Linked DNA regions of Callithrix jacchus. The protein of the gene in region 1 purifies or fractionates together with the protein of each later gene. This does not show direct contact. Links are inferred from orthologs where the notes say so. Each region holds a gene or a part of one and is shown in the gene's direction. Other genes may lie near its edges.

Region 1 (10,323 bases):
TACAACAATCCCACATAAAGATTATGTTGGCAGAAGGCTTCCAACCCATACCATCTTCTAACCTGAGAAATACAGACATCCTGCCTTTAGGTACCACAGATCAGACATCCAGAGATTTTTACTTCTCCAATACTGGGCAGGGCTATGCCCACAGAATCATCAGAACATCACCAGGTGTGGTGGCTCACACCTGTAATCCTAGCACTTTGGGAGGCTAAGGCGGGTGGATCACGAGGTCAAGAGATCAAGACCATCCCAGCCAACATGGTGAAACCCTGTCTCTACTAAAAATACAAAAATTAGGCTGGGTGCGGTGGCTCACGCCTGTAATCCCAGCACTTTGGGAGGCTGAGGTGGGCGGATCACGAGGTCAAGAGATCGAGACCATCCCGGCCAACATGGTGAAACCCGTCTCTACTAAAAATCCAAAAATTAGCTGGGCATGGTGACACGTGTCTGTGGTCCCAGCTACTTGGGAGGCTGACGCAGAAGAATCACTTGAACCCAGGAAGCAGAGGTTGCAGTGAACCGAGATTGCGCCACTGTACTTCAGCCTGGTGACAGAGCAAGACTCTGTGTCAAAAAAAAAAAAAAAAGCAGCTGGGCATGGCGGTGTGTACCTGTACTCTCAGCTGCTCAGAAAGGTGAGGCAGGAAAATCCCTTGAACCTGGGAGGTGGAGGTTGCAGTGAGCTGAGACCATGCCACTGCACTCTAGCCTGGCAACAGAGCAAAACTTTGTCCAAAAAAAAAAAAAAAAGAACAAAGAAAAGAACCATCAGAACATCGTGAAGCTGACTGCAAATCCTTATGAGAGAATCCTATCCCAAAGATCAATGTCCACTCTCAGCAGGAAGAAGTTACAAAAAATGACCTTCATCTCCCCTTAATATTAGGAGTTCTCTCATAAGTAGAGGAGGTATTATGTTAGGGAAACAGGAACATAAGAGCTAGGGTAACTTGGCCAGGCACGGTGGCTCGTGCCTGTAACCCCAGCACTTTGGGAGGCCGAGGTGGGAGGATCACCTGAGCTCAAGACTAGCCTGGCCAACATGGTAAAACCCCCTCTCTGCTAAAAATATCAAAATTTGCTGGGCATGGTAGCAGGTGCTTGTAATCCCTGTTACTTGGGAGGCTGAGGCAGGAGAATCGCTTGAACCTAGGAGGTGGAGGTTACAGTGAGCCGAGATCACTCCACTGCACTCCAACCTTGGCAACAAGAGTGAAACTCTGTCTCAAAGAAAAAAAAAAGCCAGGCACCACAGCTCATAATTCCAGCACTTTGGGAGGCCAAGATGGGCAGATCACAAAGTCAAGAGCTCGAGACCATCCTGGCAACCATGGTGAAACCCTGTCTCTACTAAAAATACAAAAATTAGCTGGGCATGGTGGTACATGCCTATAGTCCCAGCTACTCGGGATGCTGAGGCAGGAGAATCGCTTGAACCCAAGAGGCGGAGGTTGCAGTGAGCTGAGATCGCACGACTGCACTCCAGCCTGGCGACAGAGTGAGAATCCTTATCAAAAAAAAAAAAAGAGCTTGGGTAACACAATTTCAAAATCAATTCCATATTAAAACTAGATGAGGAAACTGAGGCAAGTATAAGAAAATGAGAAGCTAATTAAAAAAAAAACAAAAACAACTAGCAAATCATATTCCTTTCCAGACACAACCCACAGTCATACAGTGTTCACAGCTAAGGAAGCAGTTTAATAATGCCGGCAAGAACAAACTCCTTAGACAACAAAATGTTCAGATGTTCAAATACTGAATAACAACATATGGTTTTTTGTTTTTTTTTTTTTTTTTGGATACAGAGTTTCGGTCAAAAAATAAAGTTCTCTTTTACTTTGATTATTCTGTGAAATCTGACGTATTATTAAGGACAAAACAAAAACAAAAACAAAATACTTCCTTATTCACTACAGGGGAATACAGAGATAACAAAGCTAATAATTTTAGAAAGGTATCTAGGGAGACATATAGGCCCACAGGAGCAAATCCCTGCAGTAGTGACTCTGATAATCTGCAGAGAGCTACAAGGGAGGTTCTCCCTTCCCCCAGAAAAATCTATTCCAAGAGCATAAACTACATCACTAATCCTTGGAAATACGTAAGGTGGTTAGGGTAGAAGGGTGGCTTCAGAATGTCTAGAAACCTATTTTGGTTCCTAAACTATTCAAAATTTCTGCACAGAGATAGCTTTTCTGGATAAAATAGCTTTTATCCAGAGCTGACAGCAAAATGGAGTTCAGCAGGGTGGTTCCCTAACATTCGTTCTTCCAGTTAAAGCAAACTAATTATTTTCAGACTCCTTTTAAGAAAAAGTAACAATGGGGGTGGTCCAATGGGAGTGGGTTATCAGAACTTATTAACATTAGTGTCACTAAAATTGGTATACAACCCCCCACTTCTAAATTTAACTGGCTTAATTTTTTTTTTAAAGAATAAGAGGAAAAAATAAGTGAGAACTGAATATTGAATTGAATATTCAATATTCAAACATTCCAGCCTTCTCTACTCAGCTGGAAAAATGTGTGCAAATTTGGATTTTTGAATTAAATGCCTTTAATAAGACTATCAAAAATATTTACCAGAAATAAACAAGAACCTCCTGGTTTGCAGGTCAAGTTCAGATGGGTGGACACACACACACACACATACACACACATAACTCATTACAAAATACACACTTATTAACCACATAAATTTATTTGTCTGAAATGAAGGATGAAGGCTTTACCAAATCTTAATAGGCTAATAACTGAAGATGAACTATGAATTTCTAGTGTTTTAGGTTTTACCTTTTTGTTTCCTATATACTGGGCAGATATTTTGAATAGTAACATCAATAGGTTTCTGCTAGGACCATTTTAAAGCCACATTTTAAACCTAACCACCTTCTTCTGCATTTCCAAGGATTAGCAATGTGGTTTATGGTCTTGAAATAGATTTTCAAGGGGCGGGGCGGAGGGAGAACTAGTCTACTATAACGTAGGCCTCCAAGCGCTAAGCTATAACCAACTGATGTATCTTGACATAAGGCCAAGCAGTCTTATTTACAAAACTCTAAGTTGCACAAGGAATCCCTACTTCCTAACATCCTTCAGTGTCCATTTATTTCCTCCCTATCCAAGTTTTTTCTCACTTCCTTAACTCGGCTATCACCTCTGAAATGTGTTTTTAAATCTCCTTTTCAAAAAGCCCCTAGGACTGTTCCATAAAGTTGATGGCTTCGATCCAAAATTCGGGCCTACTCTGCCCTTTTAACAGCTTCAATGTTAAATGCTCGGGCACTGTTCTTCGAATGACTGAAATATTATTTGCCTCCAGCGTTTGGTACCCTAACTTTCGAGAACAAGTCATTACAGTAAACCAAGTACACCTACTCGGTTTTCTAAAGCTCGTGTTTTTCACATTATCAGGTAAGCACAGAACGAACTGAGAAAATAAAAAGGCAAAACTCACAAACAGTGGCAACATGAAATTAATCAGCTGAGCTATCCGAACCACAAGTTTCTGCATTTCACGGTGCCTCATCTTTCAAATTGTATGGCTCTCCCAAGTCCTAGGCTTCCTGCGAATTAAGGCAAGCCTCCTCGCCCATTCCGCGATCGGTGTCTTTCCGACTCGCGCCCGCCCCCCCGCCAGGCCCTCGCAGCCATGCGCCGCACACTGCAGCACTGGCGCGCGCGGCCCGCAGGCGCGGCGGACCCCGCCCCGCGGCCACGCGAGGGGAGGGGGCTCGGGGCTGGAGCCCGCCTTTGCGGCGGCCAGGCCTGGCGCCGAGTGGGCGCGCCGGGCCGGAGGAGGGGCTCCCGGCCGCGGCACCGCCTGTGCCCGCCCGCCCCTCCGCAGCCACTACTTAAGAGGCTCCAGCGCTCGCCCCGCCCCAGTGCGTTACTTACCTCGACTCTTAGCTTGTCGGGGACGGTAACCGGGACCCGGTGTCTCCTCCTGTCGCCTTCGCCTCCTAATCCCTAGCCACTATGGTGAGTGGGCCGCGCGGCTGCCGGCCGCTTTCAGGGCAGCAGGGATACGCGAGTCGGCGGGGTGTGGGGGAGCCTGTATACAGCGGGGGAAGGCTGGCCCCAGAGCCGTCCGTTTGAAGGGCGGCAAGCGGGACGAGATGCCAGATCCGGAGTCGTGAGACCTCGGTCTTTGTAAATGGCGGGGGCCCGGAAAGGTTGAGGGGCGCCAGGATTTCTTCTCAGACTCTGGAAGGGATGGGAGGGCTCAGCCCTCCGCCTTATCCGGAGCTCTCTTTTAGCGCGTAACTCTGTCCTGGGCGCGGCACCTCGAGTCCCAGCAGTCCTTTACAGCGCATGCCCTTCCCCCGCCTTGGGTGGACGCGCGCGCCGACTCTTCTAGCCCTCACTTCCTCTTGATCGCGAAAAGCGGGGGTGGGAAGGCGCTGGAGACAAAAGCGCGCACGCGCGACCGTTACCTTCCCGCCGCTGCAGGGCGGGAAACCACCACTGCGGTCTGCGCATGCGCGCTGGTGGCGGCGCGACTACGGCTTCAGGGCGTGTCTCTTGTTGACCTGAGGGTTTTTTTTTTAAATGGAAGCAGTAAGAGGGGCCGGGCGGGGTGGATCACCTGAGGTCAGGAGTTTGAGATCAGCTTGGCCAACATGGTGAAGCCCTGTCTCCACTAAAAATGCAAAAATTGGCCGGACTTGGTAGTGCACGCCTTGTAGTCCCAGCTACTCGGAAGGCTGAGGCAGGCGAATCGCTTGAACCTGGGAGGTGGAAGTTGCAGTGAGCAGAGGTCGTGCCACTGCAATCCAGCCTGGGCGACAGAGCCAGACTCCATCTCAAAAAATAAAAATTAAAAAATGCAATAAGAGGAATGTGAGGAAGTGTACCGCACTACACCAGTGTATTAGGACACTTAGTTCACAACAGCCTTTAGAGGCCACCTGTCTCTCCCTGCTGCGTTGGGAATTCTGGGGAGCAGGTGGTGCCAGTGAGGGATTTTGAGGGAACGGAAATCGGATCTTGGTTCAGATCTGGGCCGCCGATAATCCCCTACTGCGCTCAGACTGCTGTGGAGGTGTTAGGCTGAGCTCGATGCCGGCAGGCAAGGGAGGATGGGCAGCCTGGGCAGCGCCTTTGCAGACGTGGCCATTTCGTGCCTCTGCAGCGCCCCCGGGGGGCGCGGGAGCGCGCGCCCTGAATTGCTCATTCATCCTGTGCCGCATAGCCCCACCCCTTGTCCCTGCGGACAGACATTTCTGCGCTGGTCTGGCCACGTGCTTTTCCTGTGCTAGGAGCTGCCCGGAAATGTGGCCACTCAATCTAAAGTGGGATTCTGGGGCCGGAGCGCTGGATGGATGCCCACCCTCCTGTCTTGGTCCTCCAAAGGAGGAAGCTGTGACTAAGCTGTCGTGATCTGGAAGAAGGCCTTCCCCGTTTATTAATGGGAAGGTAACATGCGTTAAAAGCGATATAGACCCTATAATGTAGCTGTTCTCAAAAGAGTAATACATCTTATGTCGCTTTAAAAAAGAAAAAAAAATTTTTTTAAGATTATGTGATAGCCTGGGTAACATAACCAGACTCATCTCCTCCAAAAAAGAAAAAATAAGCCAGCCGTGGTGGCCTGTGCCTGTGGTCCCAGCTGCCCTGGAGGCTGGAGTAGGGGGATGACTTGAGCTCAGGAGGTTGAGGCTGCGATGAACCTGGACGGCACCACTGCACTCAAACCTAAGCAACAGAACTTATCACTAAAAATAAAGATTGCATGGGGGATGACTTGAGCTCAGGAGGTTGAGGCTGCGATGAACCGGCACCACTGCACTCAAACCTAAGCAACAGAACTTATCACTAAAAATAAAGATTGCATGAGTATTTTGTTTCACTTGACAGTCACCAACAGATTAAGTTGTGATGTATTTTTTTCTCCCACAGCGTGAGTGCATCTCCATCCACGTTGGCCAGGCTGGTGTCCAGATTGGCAATGCCTGCTGGGAGCTCTACTGCCTGGAACATGGCATCCAGCCCGATGGCCAGATGCCAAGTGACAAGACCATTGGGGGAGGAGATGACTCCTTCAACACCTTCTTCAGTGAGACGGGTGCTGGCAAGCACGTGCCCCGGGCAGTGTTTGTAGACCTGGAACCCACGGTCATTGGTGAGTTGGCCTCGGTAACCCAAGTGAGATCCCAGGGTGCTGGGACAGGAGGTCTGTCCTGGGGGATCTGCTGGTTACTCGCTCACTCACCCAGTCCTTCTGTCCTCCTGTCCCTCCTCCAGATGAAGTTCGCACTGGCACCTACCGCCAGCTCTTCCACCCTGAACAGCTCATCACAGGCAAGGAAGATGCTGCCAATAACTATGCCCGAGGGCACTACACCATCGGCAAGGAGATCATTGACCTCGTGTTGGACCGAATTCGTAAACTGGTATGTTTCAAGAATAAAGTAAATTAATCTGCCTTAAAAGGACATTTGAAATAATGCTGTTTTGTTGGGGATTTTTTTTGTTTTTTGAGACTGAGTTTCGCTCTTGTTACCCAGGCCAGAGTGCAATGGGGCGATCTCGGCTCACTGCAACCTCCGCCTCCTGGGTTCAGGCAATTCTCCTGCCTCAGCCTCCTGAGTAGCTGGGATTACAGGCACGTGCCACCGTGCCCAGATAATTTTTTGTATTTTTAGTAGAGACAGGGTTTCACCATGTTGACCAGGATGGTCTTGATCTCTTGACCTCGTGATCTACCCGCCTCGGCCTCCCAAAGTGCTGGGATTACAGGCATGAGCCACCCCGCCCGGCCATAATGCTGTTTGTTCTTTTTTTTAAACACAGAATTGAACTGTTATTTTAGTAAAGAGTGGAATGAGTTATTCCTTTGGGGTTTTAAAAATTCAGTTAAAATGAACTATTTTGTGTCATTTTGTAAATGTTAATGAGAATTTTCTAAAAAGCATTTGTTAAAATAAGATTTAAGTCCTGGGAGATATGTGAAAAATGAAAATATATTTACTATGACTGTACTACGAAGAACAAAAACTTAATCTTTCCTCTGTTCCTCTCTTTTGTAATAGGCTGACCAGTGCACCGGTCTCCAGGGCTTCTTGGTTTTCCACAGCTTTGGTGGGGGAACTGGTTCTGGGTTCACCTCCCTGCTCATGGAACGGCTCTCAGTTGATTATGGCAAGAAGTCCAAGCTGGAGTTCTCCATCTACCCGGCGCCCCAGGTTTCCACGGCTGTAGTTGAGCCCTACAACTCCATCCTCACCACCCACACCACCCTGGAGCACTCTGATTGTGCCTTCATGGTAGACAATGAGGCCATCTATGACATCTGTCGTAGAAACCTCGATATTGAGCGCCCAACCTACACTAATCTTAACCGCCTTATTAGCCAAATTGTGTCCTCCATCACTGCTTCCCTGAGATTTGATGGAGCCCTGAATGTTGACCTGACAGAATTCCAGACCAACCTGGTGCCCTATCCCCGCATCCACTTCCCTCTGGCCACATATGCCCCTGTCATCTCTGCTGAGAAAGCCTACCATGAACAGCTTTCTGTAGCAGAGATCACCAATGCTTGCTTTGAGCCAGCCAACCAGATGGTGAAATGTGACCCTCGCCATGGTAAATACATGGCTTGCTGCCTGTTGTACCGTGGTGACGTGGTTCCCAAAGATGTCAATGCTGCCATCGCCACCATCAAGACCAAGCGCAGCATCCAGTTTGTGGATTGGTGCCCCACTGGCTTCAAGGTTGGCATCAACTACCAGCCTCCCACTGTGGTGCCTGGTGGAGACCTGGCCAAGGTACAGAGAGCTGTGTGCATGCTGAGCAACACCACAGCCATTGCTGAGGCCTGGGCTCGCCTGGACCACAAGTTTGACCTGATGTATGCCAAGCGTGCCTTTGTTCACTGGTACGTGGGTGAGGGGATGGAGGAAGGAGAGTTTTCAGAGGCCCGTGAGGACATGGCTGCCCTTGAGAAGGATTATGAGGAGGTTGGTGTGGATTCTGTTGAAGGAGAGGGTGAAGAAGAAGGCGAAGAATACTAATTATCCATTCCTTTTGGCCCTGCAGCATGTCATGCTCCCAGAATTTCAGCTTCAACTTAGCTGACAGGCATTAAAGCTTTCTGGTTAGATTGTTTTCACTCAGTTACCATGTCTTCCATGTGTACCTGTAGTTTTTCCATCATGTCTCAAAGTAAAGTCATTAACTTCAAAAGCTTTGTCTCCTGTGTTTTTTCTAAAAGTGCCTTAGTTTTTGGGATTCATCTACACTTGGAGTAAAGAGTCTGCAATATTCTGGTAATGTCAAGGGTCCTACTTCTGTGCAGGCACCACTGTAGGGAAAAGGGAGCTCAGGGAACTGGAAAGGCAGGAGCCCTAGATTCTGTTTACCACCTCAAACCTTGCTTAGGGGGTGGGGAAACACATGAAAGTTATAGAGCTCATTTAGCTTTTCAAAGTATGGGTAGTTGCTAATGGGTTTTGCATAGGAAGTATAAGTAATTTTTGAGTATCATGTAAATTGCTGTTTAAAGTGGCTGGCTAACCTTGTTAATGTAATTAGGAAATTTAAGAGTGATCCTTGGCAGGACATGATGGCTAACGCCTGTAATCCTAGCACAAGGACAAGGCAGGTAGTTGAGCCCAGGCGTTCCAGACCAGCCTGGGCAACATGATGAAACCCTGTCTACAAAAATGTACAAAAATTTGGGCATGGTGGTAAGCACCTATAATCCCAGCTATTTGAGACGCTGAGGAGGTTGAGGCTGCAGTGAGCTGTGACTGCAACACTGCACTCTAGCCTTGTTGACAAATGTCCTGGGAAAACGGCTGTAGGAGTATTTGCAGCCCTATTGTGATAGGAAAAAGTTGTAGGACCAGAATTCACGGTGGTCAACGAGCAGACAAGAAGCTGTATGCATTGGTGGCAGAAGTCTGCAGTACATGAAGATAAAGTGGCAACATTTGTAAAAGGATACAAGTTTATAGCATTTGGCATGGTTTATATTCAAGTATTGTGGATACACGTAATGGACTTGTAGGCACAGAGAATGTAAATAGAGGATTTAACCTATGAGAAAATGTAGATTTCAAATCCAGAAAGCACAAGAACAATTATGGCTGCTGAAGACCTTGATATCTTCTTGGTTTAAGACTGAAAGAATATGATTTAAAAAAAAAAAAGCCAGGCATGGTGGCTCACGCCTGTAATCTCAGCACTTCGGGAGGCCAAGGCGGGTGGATCACGAGGTCAAGAGATCAAGACCATCCTGTTCAACATGGTGAAACCCTGTCTCTACTAAAAATATAAAAAAAATTAGCTGGGCATGGTGGCGTGTGCCTGTAATCCTGGCTACTCAGGAGGCTGAGGCAGGAGAATTGCCTGAACCCAGGAGGCGGAGGTTGCGGTGAGCCGAGATTGCGCCATTGCACTCCAGCCTGGGTAACGAGAGAAACTCCGTCTCAAAAAAAAAGGAAGACTACAATTTTCCCAGTTGTTTGTTTTGCTCATAAATCCTATAAATTCACAAAATGTAGTCGGCCTTCCCTATCTGTGGGTTCCATATCTAGATTTGACTAACTGGATTGAAAATATTTTGAAGCAACTGGCCATGGTGGTTCACGCCTGTAACATCAGCACTTCGGCCAAAGCAGGAGGTTCACTTGAGCCCAGGAGTTTGAGACTAGCCTAGGCAACCTAGGTAAACCCTGTCACTACAAAACAAAATAATTAGCCAGTGTGATCATGCTACTGCATTCCTCATTCCTGCCTGGGTGCCAGAGAGAGACCCTATCTAAAATATATATTTGGAAAAATGGATAATTGTGTCTGAACTGCACATGTACTTTTCCCCTTTATTCTCTAAACAATACAGTATAACAATTATTTACATAGCATTCACATTGTATTAGGTATAAGTAATCTAGAAATGACTTAAGTATACAGGAAGATGTGTGTAGGTTACATGCAAACATTAGAGCTCTCTATATAAGGAATTTGAGCATTCATGGATTTTAGTATCCCCCAGGGATACTAAGGGATGACTGTAGCTCTCAGCGCCTAAGAGAATCTGATTTGGCATGAGCATTTTAGAGAAAGAGCTTTGGTCGGGGGCCTGTAGGGCTAGCATAGCAACACATATGTAGCCATCACAGGCTCCAAGGGAAAGCATACACCTTTAAAGAACTGAGAGGGCCGGGCACAGCACCTCATGCCTGTAATCCTATCACTTTGAGAGCCCGAGGTGGGCAGATTCCTGAGGTCAGGAGTTCAAGACCAGTCAGGCCAATTAGGTGAAACCACATCTCTACTAAAAATATAAAAATCCTCCCTCCTTTGC
Region 2 (9,523 bases), on another chromosome or scaffold:
TCTTCATTCTGAGGCTGGTTGAATTATTTTTTCTTGGTCCTTCTCTTTCGTACTGGTGGTTTTCCTCAAATGTCTGGCCATCTTTATTTGGCTTTTTAAACCCAAGAATGAAGGCCCATTGTAGGGGGCTGTCAGAGGACTACTCTGCTGCGGTGTTTGTGGGTCTGTTTTTCTGAAAGGCATTTCCTCAGAACGGGGACAGAGAATGTCCACTGACAGGGTGCAACTTTAGCAAGGGTGGGTAAGGACCCAGGCATTAGATGGGATCCTGCCAGACGTTAGATCAAAGGAGGCCTCTTCTTGGGGTAATGTCTCTTTTTTCCCTCAGCCTTGTCAAAGGTGTATCTGTTTTCCAGTCTAGCTTTGGGCTTTGTTGGTCATCTCTACTGTTTAACTGTGGTTTTATACTTTTAATTTTATTTTAATGTTTTAGACTTCATTAATTTTTCTGGTTTTATCTTTATTAATTTTTTTCTCCTGTGTTCATTTTTTTATTCACTTCTGGCTTCTGGAATTGAATGCTTCAACATTTATCAACTCATTGGCCAATCTCATTTCATCTATACCTGTACACACTGCCCTCTTCCTGTTTTCCTTCAAAGCTAATCCCAGATACCACATAATTCTGTAAATATTCCAGAATGCATCTCTAAAACATAAGTATACTTTTTAAGAAAAGCATTACCTAAGTATCATATCTGAAAATTAACAAGAATTATTCTGCCTAGGCTCTGCCATCCAAAGAATCCTTTAATATCATTAATCATTCTTTTTGTTTGAATAAATGCATAGGAGGCTATAGCTGTTTGTTCTTTTGTGGGTACAGTATTTTTTTTTTTTTTTTTGAGACGGAGTTTCACTCTTGTTGCCCAGGCTGGTGTGTAGTGGCACGATCTTGGCTCACCACAACCTCCACCTCCTGGTTTCAAGTGATTCTCCTGCCTCAGCCTCCCAAGTAGCTGGGATTGCAGGCATGTGCCACCATGCCTGGCTAATTTTGTATTTTTAATAAAGACGGGGTTTTTCCATGTTGGTCAGGCTGGTCTTGAACTCCCAGTCTCAGGTGATCCACCTGCCTCAGCTTCCCAAAGTCCTGGGGTTACAGGCATGAGCCACTGCACCCAGCCTGTGGGTACATTATTGACTACACACACAGATGTAAAACATTGTGAATATATTCAGTACATTGTTCCTTATGAACAAAAATGTATAAACAAACAAAAAAAAGCATGTCCATGCTCTTAGGTCTCCCAGCTCCACATCTCTGTCTCTGAATTCCAGCAGCAGGGAGACAAACTAGGCAGCCCTTAAAATGCTGTTGTGAAGACAAGGAAAACAGATGATCTAAAACTAAGTAGTTAAAAGAAAGAAGTGGCTGGTGCATTGGTGATTCAGTGAATTGGCTCTTCAGAAGGGGTTTTGTGTGCATTGACCTGGATCTGTACTGGATTTCTCTAGGAGGGAAACTTCAGTTTATCTTTGGTGCCCCCTTCTCTGCATGAGACAGAGCACCCTGGGGCCCCTGGAATCTCAAATTCTACTTTCTAGAAATTCACTGAAGTCTCTTATTCTCTGACATCCTTTCTTCCACTCTCTGTCTTTTTGGGTTGCTGTTTATTTACAATATCTTTACTGTATTTTGACCAGAGTGGTAGGAGTGTAAGGAGGTAAACCCGTACTATCAATCCACCATTTAATTTGAAGGTGTATAAACTTATTTTAAAATTCCCTTCTGTTTCTTTATAAACGTAGCTTCCTTGAGTGCTAGTTCTGCTCTTTGTTGATTCTGATGGCTCTCTTTTAGAGTCAGCTTTCTTCAGATCTTTTCTTTATTCCTGTCTTCCCCTGATGATAATTTTTTTCTTTTTCTTTTTCTTTTTTTTTTTTTTTTTTTTTTTTTGAGACAGTCACACTCTGTCACCCAGGCTGGAGTGCAGTGGCCCCATCTTGGCTCACTGTAACCTCTGCCTCCCGAGTTCAAGTGATTCTCCTGCCTCTGCCTCCCAAGGAGCTGGGATTACAGGCTCACACCACCATGCCCAGAAAATTTTTTGCTATTTTTATTAGAGATAGGGTTTTACCATGTTGGCCAGACTGGTCTCGAACTCCTGGCCTCAAGTGATCTACCCACCTTGGCCTCCCAAAGTGCTGGGATTACAGGTGTGAGCCACTGAGCTCGGCCCCCTGTTCATAATTTTTATGTCCTACTGTGCTTCTCTTTCTCTTATGATTAACTTACTAAAAGTTTAGAATCAAGATTTATCTATCAATGTCAAAAATAAAACAATCATCCTTCACCCACTCAAGACCAGAGCTTTTCCATGTTTTTATTCCCAAATTCCAAGATCTTTTCCCTCAATTTTAAGAATCTTTTTATATCACTTGCATTAAATTTTACAACTACATTATCAACACATTAAAACGTGATTCTTAATTTGTTTAGATACATTGCATACCACTATTTCTTGGATTTCCTTAAAAAAGCTGCCTTGGATCCTCTCTGGGACAAGGCAGGGGTAAATGACCAGATAGAAGGAGAGATGGATGATAGATTATTCGTTTTGCTTTCCACAGTCAGAATTAAGCCCTCCCATGGCCCCTTGCTGGGCATTCTGTCAAAGCATGTGCACTGCATCTTTTCAGTATCTGTTTTGCGTGTTGATCTCACCCCTCTTAAGTGCTTGCTGGTTCACCTGTAAAATAAAAGAAGTAGTAGAGGTGGCCTGTAAGGCACTGGGGAGAGGGAACTGCCCTCTCACTGGCCTCATGGCAGCCCCAGCCAGTATCCCCTCTCCAGTTTCACCCACAGAAGCAAGTCTCACCCCTACCCCCCAGGTCTCTCCACTTCCTTCTAGAGAATCACCCAGCTCCTGCAGCCTGGCTTGAGGTTCTTTTCAGCCTTAGCTGGCTCCCCCCAGCTAAGAGCCCCATGCACCATTTGAGCCTCCAGTGTCACAGAGTTTGACCTGCTGTTACTGCCTTGGTCATAGGCGCATATGGTGGGTGAACATGATCTAGAGTACCCCACAGAGTCAGGAGCCCCCAGGATCTGGGATAGACCCTAGAGCTGAGCCTGAAATTGGGTGGGCACTGAGGGGGCAGTGATATTTGCTGAGGGAAAGGTTCTGGTGAGAGACTAAGTGAATGAGTGAATGAGGTAACAGATAAATAAGGGGAAAAATGAATAAATGGTAAGATGGGTAAATTGGTGACTGAATATAAGGGTAAACTAATGGAAGAATGGATTCATGTATTATATATTAATGGAGAAATTAATGAATGAGAGAATGAATGAGTCGTTGAATGGGGAAATGAGTGGTAGAGGAAATTAGCAACTGTTGGGTTGAGGGTGTCTATGGGGATTGACTCTTCTCCAACTCTCTTACCTCTTTTTCTTCTGCCCCCAGTGTCCTCTATTTCTCCATCCACCGCTACGAGCAGGGTAGGTTCTGGCCCCACCTGAAGGCCTCTAACTGGTCCACCATAGGTTTTGGCCAAGGCCAAGGATATACCATCAATGTGCCTTGGAACCAGGTCAGTATCCACTTACCCTCTGCCCCCAAAGTGAGGCCCAGCCTCGCCCTTCTGCCTGTGGCTCAGGGCAGGTGGCTGAACATCCCCTGTCACACTCCTGTGTCTGCAGGTGGGGATGCGGGATGCTGACTACATTGCTGCTTTCCTACACGTCCTGCTGCCAGTCACCCTTGAGGTCCTGGGGGTCTGGGGTGTGTTGAGGGGAGGAGAGACCTTGAAAGTTGGGCCATGAGGGCAGGTAGCCTCATGGAGTACATTCCCCCCTCAGTTCCAGCCTCAGCTGGTCGTGGTGGCTGCTGGATTTGATGCCCTGCAAGGGGACCCCAAGGTAAGGCAGGCTCCCTGGGGCAGCAGGTGGGCTGCATGGAGCCAGGCTGACCCTCCATGTCCCCCCAGGGTGAGATGGCCGCCACTCCAGCAGGGTTCGCCCAGCTAACCCACCTGCTCATGGGTCTGGCAGGAGGCAAGCTGATCCTGTCTCTGGAGGTGAGTGACTCACCTTTGTCCCTCAGCCTGTGGATCCTGGAGGGCTTAAGAACGAAGCTTTCAAGTCCAACAGGAGTTCCTGGCCGAGCATTTCACTTACTAGCTGGACAGCCTTGCATAAGTCACTTCACTTCTTTGTGTCTCCGCTTTCCTTCTGTAAAACGAGCATAATAATGGTAATCATCTCATATCATTGTCCAGTGAATTCAGTGAGGTCCCCTTCTAAGTTCCTTGTTGCTTGACATTTGGTATGCACTCTCTTATTATTATCATTATTATTATTATTCCCTGGTAATTTCTGGTCCTTTACTGACCCCCCTTCACAACTCCTTCCCCCAGGGTGGCTACAACCTCCGCGCCCTGGCTGAAGGCGTCAGTGCTTCGCTTCACACCCTTCTGGGAGATCCTTGCCCCATGCTGGAGTCCCCTGGTGCCCCCTGTCGGAGGTGAGCCCAGGTGGAGGAGGGGAAAGCAGGAGCCTCACTGGCTGCCCACGTTTCTTTGCATCATATTTTCTTCCTGTCCTGCCCTGTAGTGCCCAGGCTTCAGTCTCCTGTGCTCTGGAAGCCCTTGAGCCCTTCTGGGAGGTTCTTGTGAGATCAAGTAGGAAGTGGGGAGTGGGCTTGGTGGGGGTGGGCATAGGATGAGCCCTGGGGGAGACTTCAGACTTCCTCTGACTTTCTTAGGCCATCTTGGTGGGAGAGGGTCAGGCCCTCTGTCTCCCTGGGCCCTGGTTTCAGACCTCCCACCCTTTTTCTGTTTGGGTCACCTGAGTTCCAGAGTATGACGGGGATTCAGATTGAGAGGGTAGGATGAACGTGGCCTCCCCCTTATAGCTGATACTGTGGAAGGGGACAACGTGGAGGAGGACAATATAGAGGAGAGCGAGGATGAAAGACCCTGGGAGCCCCCAGTGCTTCCAATCCTGACATGGCCGGTGCTACAGTCTCGCACAGGGCTGGTCTATGACCAAAGTATGATGAATCACTGCAACTTGTGGGACAGGTAGGCAGTTGGAGGGCTGGGTGAGTAGGTGTTGGGGATTCCTCCCTCTCAGGCACTAAGCCCCTACCTCTGGTTCCCCCACCGCTAGCCACCACCCTGAGGTACCCCAGCGCATCTTGCGAATCATGTGCCGTCTGGAGGAGCTGGGACTTGCTGGGCGCTGCCTCACCCTGCCACCGCGCCCCGCCACAGAGGCTGAGCTGTTCACCTGCCACAGGTCAGACCCCAGTGTCTAGGGTGGGTGGGTTCCCAGGACTGTGGAGGAGGTCTCAGGGATTGGAGCTTGGAGTTCCTCCCCACTGGGGAGCTGCTACAGGACTTGAAAGGAGCTGAAGTTCCTATCTTGGGGGTGGGGCTCAGGAAGGGGACGAACCCTCCTCACTGTCTTGCTGGTGCTCCTCTCTGTGCCTCCAGTGCTGAGTATGTAGCTCGTCTCCGGGCCACAGAGAAGATGAAAACCCGGGAGCTGCACCGGGAGAGTTCCAACTTTGACTCCATCTACATCTGCCCCAGCACCTTTGCCTGTGCACAGCTTGCCACTGGCGCTGCCTGCCGCCTGGTGGAGGCTGTGCTCTCAGGAGAGGTGCGTGCTCTGTGGGCTGGGAAGAGGAGGACCTGAGGGAGAATAGAAGAAAAAGGGTCACTTGCTGTTTCTGAAGGCTCTGAGAGAGTCAAGCAGTGCCTGAGGAAAGGGGCCATGGGGAAGGGCACGAGAAGGGGCAGGCCTAGAGGCTGGGGACATAATGGAGGGAACTGGAGAAAGGGAAGGGAAGGATGGCCAAGTACGGTGGCTCAGGCCTATAATCCTAGCAATTTGAGAAGCCAGGGTGAGCTCAAGAGGTCAAGGCTGCAGTAAGCCATGACTGTGCCACTGCACTCAAGCCTGGGTGACAGACAGACCCTGTGTCAAAAATAAAAATAAAAAAGGGAAGCAAGGAAGGAGGACAAGCTTGAGGGCAGGCTGTCCAGCCTTAGCACCCTGCTGCTCCCTAGGTTCTGAATGGTGCTGCTGTGGTGCGTCCCCCAGGACACCATGCGGAGCAGGACGCAGCTTGCGGTTTTTGCTTTTTCAACTCTGTGGCTGTGGCTGCTCGCCATGCCCAGGCTATCAGTGGGCATGCCCTGCGGTAAGGACTCCCTGTGGACCCCCAAATCCTGATCCTTGTGGAGATCTGGAAGCTCCCCCCACCCCATTGCTTACTCATCATACCCCATGGTCCAGCTCCTAGGACTTCCCCAGAAAGAAGTAAGGGTGCAACCTTTACCCAGAGAAGGACCGAGGATGGAGCCTCTCAGTACTTATTTAGATAGGGCCCCCAGATCGTGTCACCTGGGTGCTTATAAAACAGGATCCAGGTCTGGGCACAGTGGCTCACGCCTGTAATCCCAGCACTTTGGAAGGCCGAGGCAGGTGGATCACCTGAGGTCAGGAATTCAAGACCAGCATGACCAACATGGAGAAACCCATCTCTACTAAAAATACAAAAATTAGCCAGGCGTGGTGGTGCATGCCTGTAATCCCAGCTACTCAGGAGGCTGAAGCAGGAGAATCGCTTGAACCCGGGAGGCGGAGGTTGCAGTTGAGCTGAGATCATGCCATTGCACTCCAGCCTGGGCAATAAGAGCGAAACTACATCTCAAACAAACACACACCAGGATCCAGGGTCCCACCCTAGCATTTCTGGCCTATAGAAGCTGTCTCGACAGAACCCAGGTCCAAGCTCCCGATGCATACTCCAGAAGACCCAGAACTCAGCCCCCAGCATTAGCTGCCCGAGGTCTAGGTCCAGTTCCCTAGCAATGACCCAAAAGAGCCCAAGGTCCAGTTCCCTAGCAATGACCCAAAAGAGCCCAAGGTCCAGCCCCAAGCACTTGCTCGGGTCTACGAGACAGCCCTTGGGACCCCAGGATCATACTTTTCTCCTTAACTGACAGGACCCAGTGTCCTGCCACTCCACACTAAATATCTCTGCAGACCCCAGGGGTCTAGCCCAGCCCTCTTCCACGGGGTGAGTATCCTAGGTTACTGAGCTTCTGCCTCCTTCCTACCCAGGATCCTGATCGTGGATTGGGATGTCCACCATGGTAATGGAACTCAGCACATGTTTGAGGATGACCCCAGGTAAGATGCTGCAGTCAGGGGCTGTGGTGTGGTCAGGGAGATGGGTGAGCACCTCAGGGGTATTGGAGCCCCTAACCAGCTATGGCCCCCTTCCCACCCCCTCCCCGGCAGTGTACTCTATGTGTCCCTGCACCGCTACGATCATGGCACCTTCTTCCCCATGGGAGATGAGGGTGCCAGCAGCCAGATCGGCCGGGCTGCAGGCACAGGCTTCACCGTCAACGTGGCATGGAATGGGCCCCGCATAGGTGATGCTGACTACCTAGCTGCCTGGCATCGCCTGGTGCTTCCTATTGCCTACGAGGTAAAGCTCAGTGTAGATCTCAGGATGTATGTGATACACCTGTGCAGGTGGCAGCCTGGGCCTGCCTCCTCAGCATGTGTGCGTTTGACTGCCAGGTGGCGGATCATATGAGACAGCCCAAGGGTGACTAATGAGGCTACTGGGGCAGTTGATGACTGTGATTACCTTGTGTGTTTGACCACACAGGTGGCTGTACAGGACTGCCTTCTCTGTGTGACACTGTGTGAGTGACTGTCTTGCCTGTGTGTGTGAGGGCCTTCTGGCTATGCAGCAGTGGCCTGTGTCCTGGCTGGATCTGTGTTGTATATGTGTGCTATCACAAGTTCTTTAGTATGTGTGTGCAATTCTGTGCAAGTGGGTATTTCTCACCACCTTTTCTCTGTGCGATGGATGTGATATTGTATGTCACTAAATGCAGCCATCTCTATGACAGCCTGTATGGGACCCTCTGGATGTGGAGGGCTGTGTGTGACAGCAGTCACTGTCTGACTGTCTGCCCTGGCTGTTTGTGTATGTGTCTCTGACTGGGAGGTAGCTGCCTTCCCTCTGTGTGAGCTGTGGGGCGGGGGGGTCAGTGGCTTGTGTATGGCTGACCCTGGGAGGGAGGGGAAGGAGGTGTGAGCACTGCTCTGTCACCCTGGGTGCCAGTGTGCATCTTTGGATCTGCACGTGCATCTGACTATGCATGGGTGGCCAGGACAGCCTTCTGTGTGTATACAACTGTATGTGCAAGTGACCAGCTCTTGTGGACACACCAGAGTGCATGTGGCTGTTGTGGCTGTGTGGTGATGGCATGTGTATGATTGTGACTGCAGGATGGCTGTGGGTTATTGTCCTTTTTAAGAAACTATGTATGTATGTGTGCGCATGACTAGTGCAGATATGTAGTACTGTTCTATATGGGACTGTCTGTGTGGGATTACACGTGGCTTTGTGTGACCATCTTCTCTGTGTGTGGTGCTTGCGTTGCCATCTTCTGTTATGGAAGTGTGTGAGCACCCCTCTTTGGCACTATGTACATAAAACCCTGTATCTTGTGTATGTGTGTCCCACGTTTGACCCTGGGGTGTGTGTGTGAGGACATGTCTCTGTCTCTCCATTTCTCATGTCAGTCTCTTGACATCTGAGTCTGGTCTCATGACTCTGTCTCATGTCCCCATCTGTCCATTTTTGCTGTCTCCATGTTTCTAGATCTGCATCTGTTTCTTCTATCTCTGAGTCTATATTTCTCTTCTTCCTCTCTTCATTTTCAGTCTCTGCTTTTGCATCTCCCAGTCTTCAGGCCCCGTGTCTCCATCTCTCTGATTTGCATCTCCATGTCTTCATTTGTCCTTTTCTCCATCCATGTCTCCTTGTCACCACCACTTACTGCCTACCAAAAGCCCTTACCCTCATGCTTATACGTCTCTTCTCTCCCTGCCTCAGTTTAATCCAGAACTGGTGCTGGTCTCAGCTGGCTTTGACGCTGCACGGGGGGACCCGCTGGGGGGCTGCCAGATATCACCTGAGGGTTATGCCCACCTCACCCACCTGCTGATGGGCCTTGCCAGTGGCCGCATTATCCTTATCCTAGAGGTAACTCTCTCTTGGTAACCTTTTCCCACAGTGGGAGGGTAGTTTGGGAATCTTGGCACTATCATTCAGTATAGTTTCCTAAAATCTCCTTTAAGTGTCCCTGCCTGGAATTGTGGGCACACACTGGGTAGTAATTGGGTAATAATAATAAGAATAACAGCAACATTAACAGCTTTGAGTGCTCACTGTGTGCAAAGCACTCTTCTGAGCACTTCATGTATCTTATTCATTTAGTTACTTGGCAAAGCAGCCTTATGAGGTAGGGTTAGCTTTTCCCCTCTCAAGATCAGGGAAACTGAGGCACAAAGAGGCGTGATGACTAGATGACTGAAAGAAATGTGCCTGAGATGGCACATTTACTGATGGCAGAACCAGGACTTGAACCGATGCAGCGTGGCTCCAGGGTTTGTGTTTTTTACTGTTACCTGAACTGACTCTAACAAGTTCCTGGGACAAAGAAAATTCACTGACCTTTGTAAGTGACTCGGTATCCCCAT
Region 3 (10,176 bases), on another chromosome or scaffold:
GCATAACATTCAATGCCTACGCAACTAATAACTAGTCTTCTATTGCGCAATGCTACTATCACATATATAGATGTGTTTGTGATTCTCACATACACAAACCCACCTAAAACCATTATATACCCAGATATTCATTGCAGCCCGAATAGCAGATTAGGAACAACTTAACTTAAACATCAGTCAGTAGGTGACCGGTTAGTTGTGTTTCTTTTGTTTTGTTTTTGAGACAGGGTTGGCTCTGTCACCCAGGCTGGAGTGCAGTGGCAGGATCACAGTTGACTGCAACCTCCGCCTCCAGGATTCCAGCGATCCTCCCACCTGTCTCCCAAGTAGCTGGGACCATGGGTGCGTACCACCACGCCTGGCTCATTTTTGTATTCTTTGCATAGATGGAGTCTGGTTATGTTGCCCAGGCTGGTCTCGAACTCTAGGGCACAAATGATCCCTAGAACGTGAGCCACTGCGCCCTGGCCCCAAAGAACATCACGTACCTATTAACAAGGACTTCCCATTAGTCTTGATATGCCACAATCTCCAAAACACCTAAAAGAATATGGGCCGGGCGTGGTGGCTCCCGCCTGTAATCCCAGCACTTTGGGAGGCCGAGGCGGGTGGATCACGAGGTTAAGAGATCGAGACCATCCTGGTCAACATGGTGAAACCCCGTCTCTACTAAAAATACAAAAATTAGCTGGGCATGGTGGCGCGTGCCTGTAATCCCAGCTACTCGGGAGGCTGAGGCAGGAGAATTGCCTGAACCCAGGAGGCGGAGGTTGCGGTGAGCTGAGATCGCGCCATTGCACTCTAGCCTGGGTAACGAGCGAAACTCCATCTCAAAAAATAAAATAAAAGTATAACACACCCTACAGTGTATTATGAATTGCCCTTTGTGTGGGTAAATGATTACATCCAGGCGTAAGTTTATAAATTCAGAAATCATTCTGAAAATTCAGAGTGTCCAGGGGTAACTGTGCTTGTCTCTAGTGTAGAACTAGAGGCGGGAGGAAGATTTAATTTTCACCACATGCCCTTTGGTGCCTTTTGAATTCAGAACAATTTCCATTATCTATTAAAAATAAAATACAGGCTGGGCACGGTGGCTCACGCCTGTAATCCCAGCACTTTGGGAGGCCGAGGTGGGCGGATCACGAGGTCAAGAGATGGAGACCATCCTGGCCAACAAGGTAAAACCCTGTTTCTACTAAAAATACAAAAAATAGGACGGCCTCCGTGCGGCCGAAGAGCGGATGGACTGGCGGGCAAGTGAGTGAGCCAGTAGTGTGAGGCGCCAGGCGAGGCCGAGCCACGAGTGACATGGGGGACCGGGAGCAGCTGCTGCAGCTGGCAAGGCTGGCCGAGCAGGTGGAGCGCTACGACGACATGGCCTCCGCCATGAAGGTGGTGACAGAGCCGGATGAACCTCTCTCCAATGAAGATCGAAATCTCTCTGTGGCTTACAAGAATGTAGTTGGTGCCAGGCGATCCTCCTGGAGGGTCATTAGCAGCATTGAGCAGAAAACCATGGCTGATGGAAAGGAAAAGAAATTGGGGAAGGTTAAAGCTTACCTGGGGAAGATTGAGAAGGACCTGGAGACAGTTTGCAATGATGTTCTGCCTCTGCCTGACAAGCTCCTGGTCAAGAACTGCAGTGATTTCCAGTATGAGAGCAAGGTGTTTTACCTGAAAATGAAAGGTGATTACTAGGGCTACTTAGCAGAGGGCGCTTCTGGGGAGAAGAAAAGCAGTGTGGTCGAAGCTTCTGAACCTGCCTACAAGGAAGCCTTTGAAATCAGCCAAGAGCAGATGCAGCCCACGCACCCCATTCGGCTGGGCCTGGCCCTCGACTTCTCTGTGTTCTACTGCGAGATCCAGAAGGCACCCGACCGAGCAAGCCTGCCTCTTAGCCACACAAGCCTTCGACGACGCCATAGCTGAGCTGCACACACCAAATGAGCGTTCCTATAAGGACTCCACGCTCATCATGCAGTTGCTGCGAGACAACCTCACCCTCTGGACGAGCGACCAGCAGGAAGAAGAAGCAGGAGAAGGCAACTGAAGATCCTTCAGGTCCCCTGGCCCTTCCTTCACCTACCACCCCCATCATCACCGATTCTTCCTTGCCACAATCACTAAATATCCAGTGCTAAACCTATCTGTATTGTTAGCACAGCTACTCAGATCTGCACCCATCTCTTGGGAAGCAGTTTCAGATAAATCATGGGCATTGCTGGACTGACGGTTGCTTTCAGCCCACAGGGGCTCCCTCTGTGAATTGTGCAGAGCGCTGTGTTCTGATGAGGCACTTCACTGTGCCTGTTGATCTATGGGAAATCCAGGCGAAAGTAATGCGGGGAGAGAATTAGCCAGCAGAGGCTGCCGTTGATATTTAAAAGATCCATTTAAAACAAGCTGATAGTGTTTGATTAAGCAGTACATCTTGTGCAGGCAGAAATGAATTCACCCCAGCCGGGCGCGGTGGCTCACGCCTGTAATCTCAGCACTTTGGGAGGCCGAGGCAGGTGGATCACGAGGTCAAGAGATCGAGACCATCCTGGTCAACATGGTGAAATCCCCGTCTCTACTAAAAATACAAAAAATTAGCTGGGCATGGTGGTGCGTGCTTGTAATCCCAGCTACTCAGGAGGCTGAGGCAGGAGAATTGCCTGAACACAGGAGGCAGAGGTTGCGGTCAGCTGAGATCGTGCCATTGCACCCCAGCCTGGGTAACAAGAGCGAAATTCCGTCTCAAAAAGAAGAAAAAAAAAAAGAATCATAGATTTATTTTTTGTAACTCTTTGGCTACTGTCCTTGTGTATCCTGACAGCGCCATGTGTGTCAGCCCATGTCAATCAAGATGGGTGGGTGATTATGAAATGCCAGACTTCTAAAATAAATGTTTTGGAATTCAGTGGGTAAATAAATGCTGATTTGGGAAAAAAAAAATACAAAAAATAGCTGAGTGTGATGGCGTGTGCCTGTAGCCCCAGCTACTTGGGAAGCAGGCTAATCGCTTAAACCCGGAAGGCAGAGGTTGCAGTGAGCCAAGATCGCGCCACGGCACTCCAGCCTGGCGACAGAGCAAGACTCCATCTCAAAATAATAAATACGTAAATAAAAATAAAAATAAAAATAAAATACTGGCCGGGGTGGTTTACGCCTGTAATCCCAGTACTTTGGGAGACCGAGGTGGGAAGATGACTGAAGCTAAGGAGTATCACTTGAGCTCAGGAGTTTGAGACCACCCTGGGCAACATAGTGAGACCCTGTGTTTACAAAAATGACACATCACGTGTTACCGAATCACTGGTATTTGGCAGGACAGTGGATACTGGGAACAACTGTGGAGCTCTTTGGAAATTTACCTTAAAAGGGAGGCCTCTCAAAGGCTGGACACCGTGACTCTACAAGGCTGTTTTCAAATCTGCCATGAGGACCCAGCATCTAAGCAGCATCCTGAGCCCTAACGGATGGACAGGTTCTGAGGTCTCGACACCCATTGCACCAGTTCTGCAGCTTTCTAAAGGCATCCGGCACTTTCCACCTTTCTATCGTCATCTTTGCTGGGCCTTACAGCACCGCAGGATCCCGGGGGAGGGTGCTTATCAGTCTCGTTTTGTGTCCCCATGGCACCTAGGGCACCGTCAAGCGCACGGTCCAGAAAGCGCCAATGAAAAGCATAAAAACAGCAAGGGAGCCGGGTGCGGTGGCTCTCGCCTGTAATCCTAGCACTTTGGGAGTCTGAGGTGGGTGGATCACCTGAGGTCAGGAGTTCAAGACCAGCCTGGCCATCATGGTGAAACCCCACCTTAAAAAAAAAAACAGCAAGGGAAGGAGACTGAGGGGCAGACAGCGCGAGTAAGGGCGGGAGAAGGCCCACCCTACGCCCTGCCCCCAGCGGAGCACAAGCCCAGCTTGCGTCCCGACCTCCTGGGTCCGCAAAGCCGGGCCCCACTTAACCGCGTGGACTGCCGGACCCCTCCCGTGCGCAATGACGTCCGGACTGCGGCGCGAGGGGTGGGACCTCAACCGCTGTACAGCCACGGACCAATCAGCGGGCGCCGGACGACCCTTGGCCCAATGACGGCGGCGCGCGGGCACGCTGGGGGCGGGCCGGGCGCGCCGACTTTTCCAGAAGACCCGGATAGTGCCTCCCGGCCACGCCGCGCCGGCTCTGAGCTTTCCGCACGCCGTGTCGCTTCCTTTTCCTTCACTGGAGCCGATATGGCGGCGGTGAAGACCCTGAACCCCAAGGCCGAGGTGGCCCGAGCACAGGCGGCGCTGGCGGTCAACATCAGCGCGGCGCGGGGCCTGCAGGACGTGCTGAGGACGAACCTGGGGCCCAAGGGCACCATGAAGATGTAAGGCGGGGCTGGCGGAAGGGCCGAGCGGGCATCGCGCGCCGCCGCCGACCTGGCGGCCCCGGGACCGCGGACTAGGGCCCCGCAGCCACCTTTTCCTCCGTCCTTCCTGATCGGTCCTGTTCCCTGCTAAGTCCCACCGTCCCGGCCATTTCTCCCTGCGTCGATGTCGTCTCCGTGGAGAACAAAGCGGCTCTAGTGCGCGGCGTTCCCCTCCCTCTGGGGCTTCCAGGCACCCTGAAGACTCGGCACAATCTCTGCTGGGACAGGGTGGGCACTGCCGTCCTCCTGCCTGCGGGAGATAACTGGCCCCCCTATCCCCGGCTCCCTAACGTCTGGGAAAAGCCTGTTTTCTAATGGGACTTTTAAATTTAGTTTTTGTTGAAAAATCAGTCTGATTCATTTCTTCCCCTTAAAACAGGCTTGTTTCTGGCGCCGGAGACATCAAGCTTACTAAAGACGGCAACGTGCTGCTTCACGAAATGGTGAGAGGTGCTCTGCTGGGTCAGAAAGGTCTTGATTTTCCGAACAATGTTTGCTTTGTAGAAAGATTGGCAATGTCCATTTTCAAGGCAGGAGAGCATTCAGAAGTGGCGTGTAATCCGTAATAGTGCTGCCAGTGCCTGGAGTGGGACAGCCCTGCCTTTGAATCTCTACTTTTTTTTTGCCATTTACAGTCGGAGTTAAAGGACTGTCATTGTATATGAAAGTTAATTATAAGAAAATTTGAAAAATGGAGTGGTGTTGACGTAATCACATGGGCAAGATGCTTAAGGGTGGTTTTTTTCTTTTCCTTTTTTTTTTAAGATGGAGTCTCACTTTGTCGCCCAGATACAGTGGAGGGGCGCAATCTCGGCTCACTGCAATGTTCGCCTCAAGGGTTCAAGCGGTTCTCTTGTCTCAGCCTCCTGAGTAGCTGGGATTACAGGCTCGTGTCAGCATGCCCAGCTAATTTTTGTTTTTTTATGTTTTTTTTTTTGAGACAGAGTCTAGATCTATCGCCCAGGCTGGAGTGCAATGGCGTGATCTCCCCTCACCACAACCTCCACCTCCTGGGTTCAAGCGATTCTCCTGCCTCAGCCTCCAGAGGAGTTGGGATTACAGGCACATGCCACAACGCCCGGCTACATTTTTGTATTTTTAGTACATATGAAGTTTCACCATGTTGGCCAGGCTAGTCTCGAACTCATAACCTTGTTATCTGCCTGCCTTGGCCTCCCAAAGTGCTGCGATTACAGGCCCGAGCCACCGCTCCCGGCCTAATTTTTGTATTTTTAGTAGAGACAGGGTTTCGCCATGTTGGCCTGGCTGGTCTTGAACTCTTGACTTCAGGTGATCTACCTGCCTCAGCCTTCCAGAGTGCTGGGGTTACCAGGTGTGAGCCACTATGCTTGGCCGGTTTTTCTCTTATGAAAATACCAATTTCTCGGTTACATCTGCATCTCCAACTGGAAGGGAGAGAAATCTGTCTCTCTGATTTAACATTTTAAAAGTCTGAGGAATGGAGAATATAGATTATTGAGGGGAGTATGCGTTTTACTCTTCCCTAAATTCCCAAAACTTAGCAATTCAAATCCAAGAAAAGGAAATTATTTCCTGCGGATTTGAGTTCAGAGTAATAGTTAAGGTTTTTCTAGTAGTATACCATGTCACCGATATCCAGCTGAAATATCTTTGTATGGACTTGCTGACTTAGGAGGTGGAGTTTCTGTTTTGCATTTTTTACCCAGATTTTACAACTGTACCTCCTAAAATGAAAGCTCAACAGCCTCCACTGTTACTCTGCAGTGACCAAATAATTTAAAAGGAAAAGTGAGGTGTGGTAACTCATGCCTGTAATCCCAGCACTCTGGGAGACCAAGGCAGGTAGATTCCTTGAACTCAGAAATTCAAAAGCAGTCTGGGCTACAGGGCAAAATCCTGTCGAGATTGTGCCACTGCACTCCAGCCTAGGTGACAGAGTGACAGTGAAACGGTCTCCAAAAAATATATATATATGTATATTAAATTTGGATTTTAGTGTGAGAAATACAGCATAAGTAGAGAGAAGCACATTGAACATTCACAATTCAAGTAATTATAGGCTGAGCATGGTGGCTCATGCCTGTAATTCTACTACTTTGGGAGGCCGAGGCAGGTGGGTCACCTGAGGTCGGGAGTTCGAGATCACCCTGACCAATGTGGAGAAACGCCGTCTTGGCTAAAAATACAAAATTAGCTGGGGGCATGGCGGTGCACACCTGTAATACCAGCTGCTCAGGAGGCTGAGGCAGGAGAATTGCTGGAACCCGGGAGGCAGAAGTTGCAGTGAGTCAAGAGCACACCATTGCACTCTAGCCTGGGCAATGGTAGCAAAACTCACTCTCAGAAACAAAAAAGAAAAAAGAAATAATTATAAAATGGACACAGGCACCACCACTGTAGCTAAGAAATAAATCGTTGCTGTCACCTCAGAATTCCCCTCCCACAACACTTCTCTCTAGTCTCCAGAAATCTGTTTTTCAGTTTTTTTTTTTTGAAAAAATGACAAACCTACAAAAGTGATAATTATTATTTTATTTATTTATTTTTGAGACGGAGTTTCGCTCTTGTTACCCCGGCTGGAGTGCAATGGCGCGATCTCGGCTCACCGCAACCTCTGTCTCCTGGGTTCAGGCAATTCTCCTGCCTCAGCCTCCTGAGTAGCTGGGGCTACAGGTGCACACCACCATGCCCAGCTAATTTTTGTGTTTTTAGTAGAGACAGCGTTTCACCTAGTTGACCAGGATGGTCTCGATCTGTTGACCTCGTGATCCACCCGCCTCGGCCTCCCAAAGTGCTGGGATTACAGGCTTGAGCCACTGCGCCCGGCCAAAAGTGATAATTATAATGTGTGTACCCTTTACCTAGATTCCCCTATTGTTTATATGTTGCTCCAGTTATTTTCTATTTTTCCCCTGAATCGTTTAAAAGTAAGTTGCAGATACACCATTTTACCTCTGAATACTGTTTTTTTGGCTTTTTTTTTTTTTTTTTTTTTTTTTTAAGAAACAGTTTTGCCATGTAACACAGGCTGGTTTTGAATTACTGAGTTCAAAGGATCCATCTGTCTTGGCCTCTCAAAGTGCTGGGATTACAGGTGTGAGCTACTACAAGTAACCTTTCCTTTTAAATTAGTTGGTCACAAAGAACAAAAATAAAAACAGGGCCGGGCGCGGTGGCTCACGCCTGTAATCCCAGCACTGTGGGAGGCCGAGGAGGGTGGATCATGAGGGCAACAGATCGAGACTATCCTGGTCAACATGGTGAAACCCTGTCTCTACTAAAAATACAAAAAATTAGCTGGGCATGGTGGCGTGTGTCTGTAGTCCCGGCTACTCAGGAGGCTGAGGCAGGAGAATTGCCTGAACCCAGGAGGTGGAGGTTGCGGTGAGCCGAGATCGCGCCATTGCACTCCAGCCTGGGTAACGAGCGAAACTCCGTCTCAAAATAAATAAATAAATAAAAATAAAAACGACAACAAAAAAATAAATTAGTTGGTCATTACAAAGTAATAGTGGAGGCTGTTGAGCTTTTATTTTTAGAGGTACTTGGCTTATTCTCACCAGAGCCCTACACTTGCCATAAAGAGGCAAGGATGTAAAATGTGTTACTGTTAACTGTTAGCTCTGTCATCTTGAGTAAACTTTTACTGAGCCTCAGGCTTCCTCATCTGTAAAGTAGATAATCTGGGAAATAAATTGCACATGAAAATGTTTTGATGGTTATAACTGCATGTGCATGATAGCTAATTGTGACTTTTTAATTGAAGTAACTTGTAGCCAGACACTTGGGTAGCTTTTTCATGTAGATTATACTTAGAGAGGCCCTTCGTGCATTTTGTTTGTGGTGTATTTAGACTGCTTCATATTGTTTTAAGTGCTTCCTTTTTTTTCTACTTTCAGCAAATTCAGCACCCAACAGCTTCCTTAATAGCAAAGGTAGCAACAGCCCAGGATGATATAACTGGTGATGGTACGACTTCCAACGTCCTGATCATTGGAGAGCTGCTGAAACAAGCGGACCTCTACGTTTCTGAAGTATGCACAACTCTTGTTTCTATATTATTTTACTGTATATGGGAAGTGTCTGATACTTACGTATACAAATGGAAGTGCTGTTAACAGTAGCTGAGGCCATACAGTAGAATTAGGGGGCTTAAATCTGGGCCTTTGTCTTGGTCTAAAACAAATGTGACCTTGGACAGGTTATGGAACCTTTCTTGGCCTGAAAATAATTTTGTAATCAAGTTGCGTTGCCTATGTGATTTGTTTCTTTCTTTAATGTAGATGAATAATTGCGATCTAAAAATGGGATGTTTAGGACTATGCATATTTATTTGTTACGAAAATGCCAACCAAAAGCCTACATTTGGATAAATTCCACTTTTTTAGCCCTGCCTAGTTCCAAGGTTAAAACAAACCTCAGTGAGTATGAATCTATTGTCAGAATTTCCTGGAAAAAGAGAGCAGAGAGTCTAGTAAATGATGTGAATTCGTTTGAGATTACTCCTAGAAAAGGTAGACTAATGCTGCCGTCTGTGGGCTGGGATGCAGTGTCGGTTTTGACATGATTCGGAGTGGTTTGCACAGTGAACACCCAAGTGTGCTTTATAGTTCCCTTGGCCTTGACCCTGTGCTAGAGCATTGCCTGTTCTTCTCCTCTGCATTGAAAGGAATGTTTATCCTTTTAAATGTATTCAGAAAGCCAGCACATGATATAACCTCGTGTTCAAAGGTATGATGATCCAGAGTATCCCTTCAAACATTACCTGAACTTTATCATGAACTATAGTTGCAGGTAATTGAAGATGAAAGTGTTATTGTGTGTTTGTTTTAGGGCCTTCATCCCAGAATAATTACTGAAGGATTTGAAGCTGCAAAGGAAAAGGCCCTTCAGTTTTTGGAAGAAGTCAAAGTGAGCAAAGAGATGGACAGGGAAACACTTATCGATGTGGCCAGAACGTCTCTTCGTACTAAAGTTCATGCTGAACTTGCAGATGTCTTAACGGAGGTGTGCATGAAGTTTTGTCTGTGTCTGTTATAGTTCACCTGTAGCAAATCTCTGATAGTAGAAACATGAGTATACTTACCCATTCAATTCTAAGGCGCTATGTAGGTTCATTTTTGTGGCAATGATACCTAATCTGTGTCTCTAAACTGAAATGAGGAAATTCAAATAATAGTATACCTAACGATAAAAGTAAAACTGGAGCTTCCATTAAAAGGTTTATAAAGTGGAGATTTTGTTCCTGCAAAGCTTCCGGTTACCAGTGTTTTTAGTAAAACAGGAATGTTAGTGATTCTCTGGAAATTACAGATTGAGCTTTCAGAAATGTCAATGACTTCAGTTGTTTACAAGTAATGTATTCTCTCTGCTCATAGAAAAAGACTTAGACCAGTGCAGAGGTTATGAAATGAAGGGACTGTCCGCTTCAGCCTTCTGAAAAGCAACCTGTTTCTACTGCTGCAAACTGGGTTTGCCTAATGGTTATGCTCCTCCTGTTACAGGCTGTAGTGGACTCCATTTTGGCCATTAAGAAACAAGATGAGCCTGTTGATCTCTTCATGATTGAGATTATGGAGATGAAACATAAATCTGAAACTGATACAAGGTAGGTAGTACAATACTATGAAATACTAATGGTCGGGTGTGGTGGCTCACACCTGTAATCCCAGCACTCTGGGTGGCTGAGGCGGGTGGATCACCTGAGGCCAGGAGTTAAAGACCAGTCTGGCCTACATGGGAAACCCCCGTCTCTGCTAAAATTACAAAAATTAGCTGGACGTGGTGGCAGATGCCT

The links.
Region 2: the proteins of tubulin alpha-1B chain (region 1) and HDAC6 purify together in Homo sapiens (affinity purification with western blotting; 4 studies listed by BioGRID, with this or other methods). This does not show direct contact. The link is inferred for Callithrix jacchus from reciprocal best matches to the Homo sapiens genes TUBA1B and HDAC6.
Region 3: the proteins of tubulin alpha-1B chain (region 1) and CCT6A purify together in Homo sapiens (affinity purification with mass spectrometry; 3 studies listed by BioGRID and IntAct, counting the BioPlex papers as one, with this or other methods). This does not show direct contact. The link is inferred for Callithrix jacchus from reciprocal best matches to the Homo sapiens genes TUBA1B and CCT6A.

What each region holds. Positions count from the first base shown.
Region 1 is NC_133510.1:70,421,354-70,431,676, forward strand, and holds tubulin alpha-1B chain, read left to right. Parts: upstream 1-3,894; 5' UTR 3,895-3,989; coding exon 3,990-3,992; exon of another isoform or gene 3,993-4,399; intron 4,400-5,912; coding exon 5,913-6,135; intron 6,136-6,257; coding exon 6,258-6,406; intron 6,407-7,045; coding exon 7,046-8,026; 3' UTR 8,027-8,198; downstream 8,199-10,323. UniProt on the Homo sapiens protein: Tubulin is the major constituent of microtubules, protein filaments consisting of alpha- and beta-tubulin heterodimers. Microtubules grow by the addition of GTP-tubulin dimers to the microtubule end, where a stabilizing cap forms.
Region 2 is NC_133524.1:49,392,105-49,401,627, forward strand, and holds part of HDAC6 (protein deacetylase HDAC6), read left to right. Parts: intron 1-3,407; coding exon 3,408-3,534; intron 3,535-3,643; coding exon 3,644-3,709; intron 3,710-3,802; coding exon 3,803-3,862; intron 3,863-3,930; coding exon 3,931-4,020; intron 4,021-4,359; coding exon 4,360-4,466; intron 4,467-4,555; coding exon 4,556-4,623; intron 4,624-4,856; coding exon 4,857-5,025; intron 5,026-5,113; coding exon 5,114-5,242; intron 5,243-5,439; coding exon 5,440-5,608; intron 5,609-6,018; coding exon 6,019-6,152; intron 6,153-7,078; coding exon 7,079-7,147; intron 7,148-7,258; coding exon 7,259-7,451; intron 7,452-8,876; coding exon 8,877-9,026; intron 9,027-9,523.
Region 3 is NC_133503.1:2,640,875-2,651,050, reverse strand, and holds the start of CCT6A (T-complex protein 1 subunit zeta), read left to right. Parts: upstream 1-4,127; 5' UTR 4,128-4,218; coding exon 4,219-4,355; exon of another isoform or gene 4,356-4,625; intron 4,626-4,776; coding exon 4,777-4,840; intron 4,841-8,278; coding exon 8,279-8,413; intron 8,414-8,957; exon of another isoform or gene 8,958-9,091; intron 9,092-9,212; coding exon 9,213-9,386; intron 9,387-9,883; coding exon 9,884-9,987; intron 9,988-10,176. UniProt on the Homo sapiens protein: Component of the chaperonin-containing T-complex (TRiC), a molecular chaperone complex that assists the folding of actin, tubulin and other proteins upon ATP hydrolysis.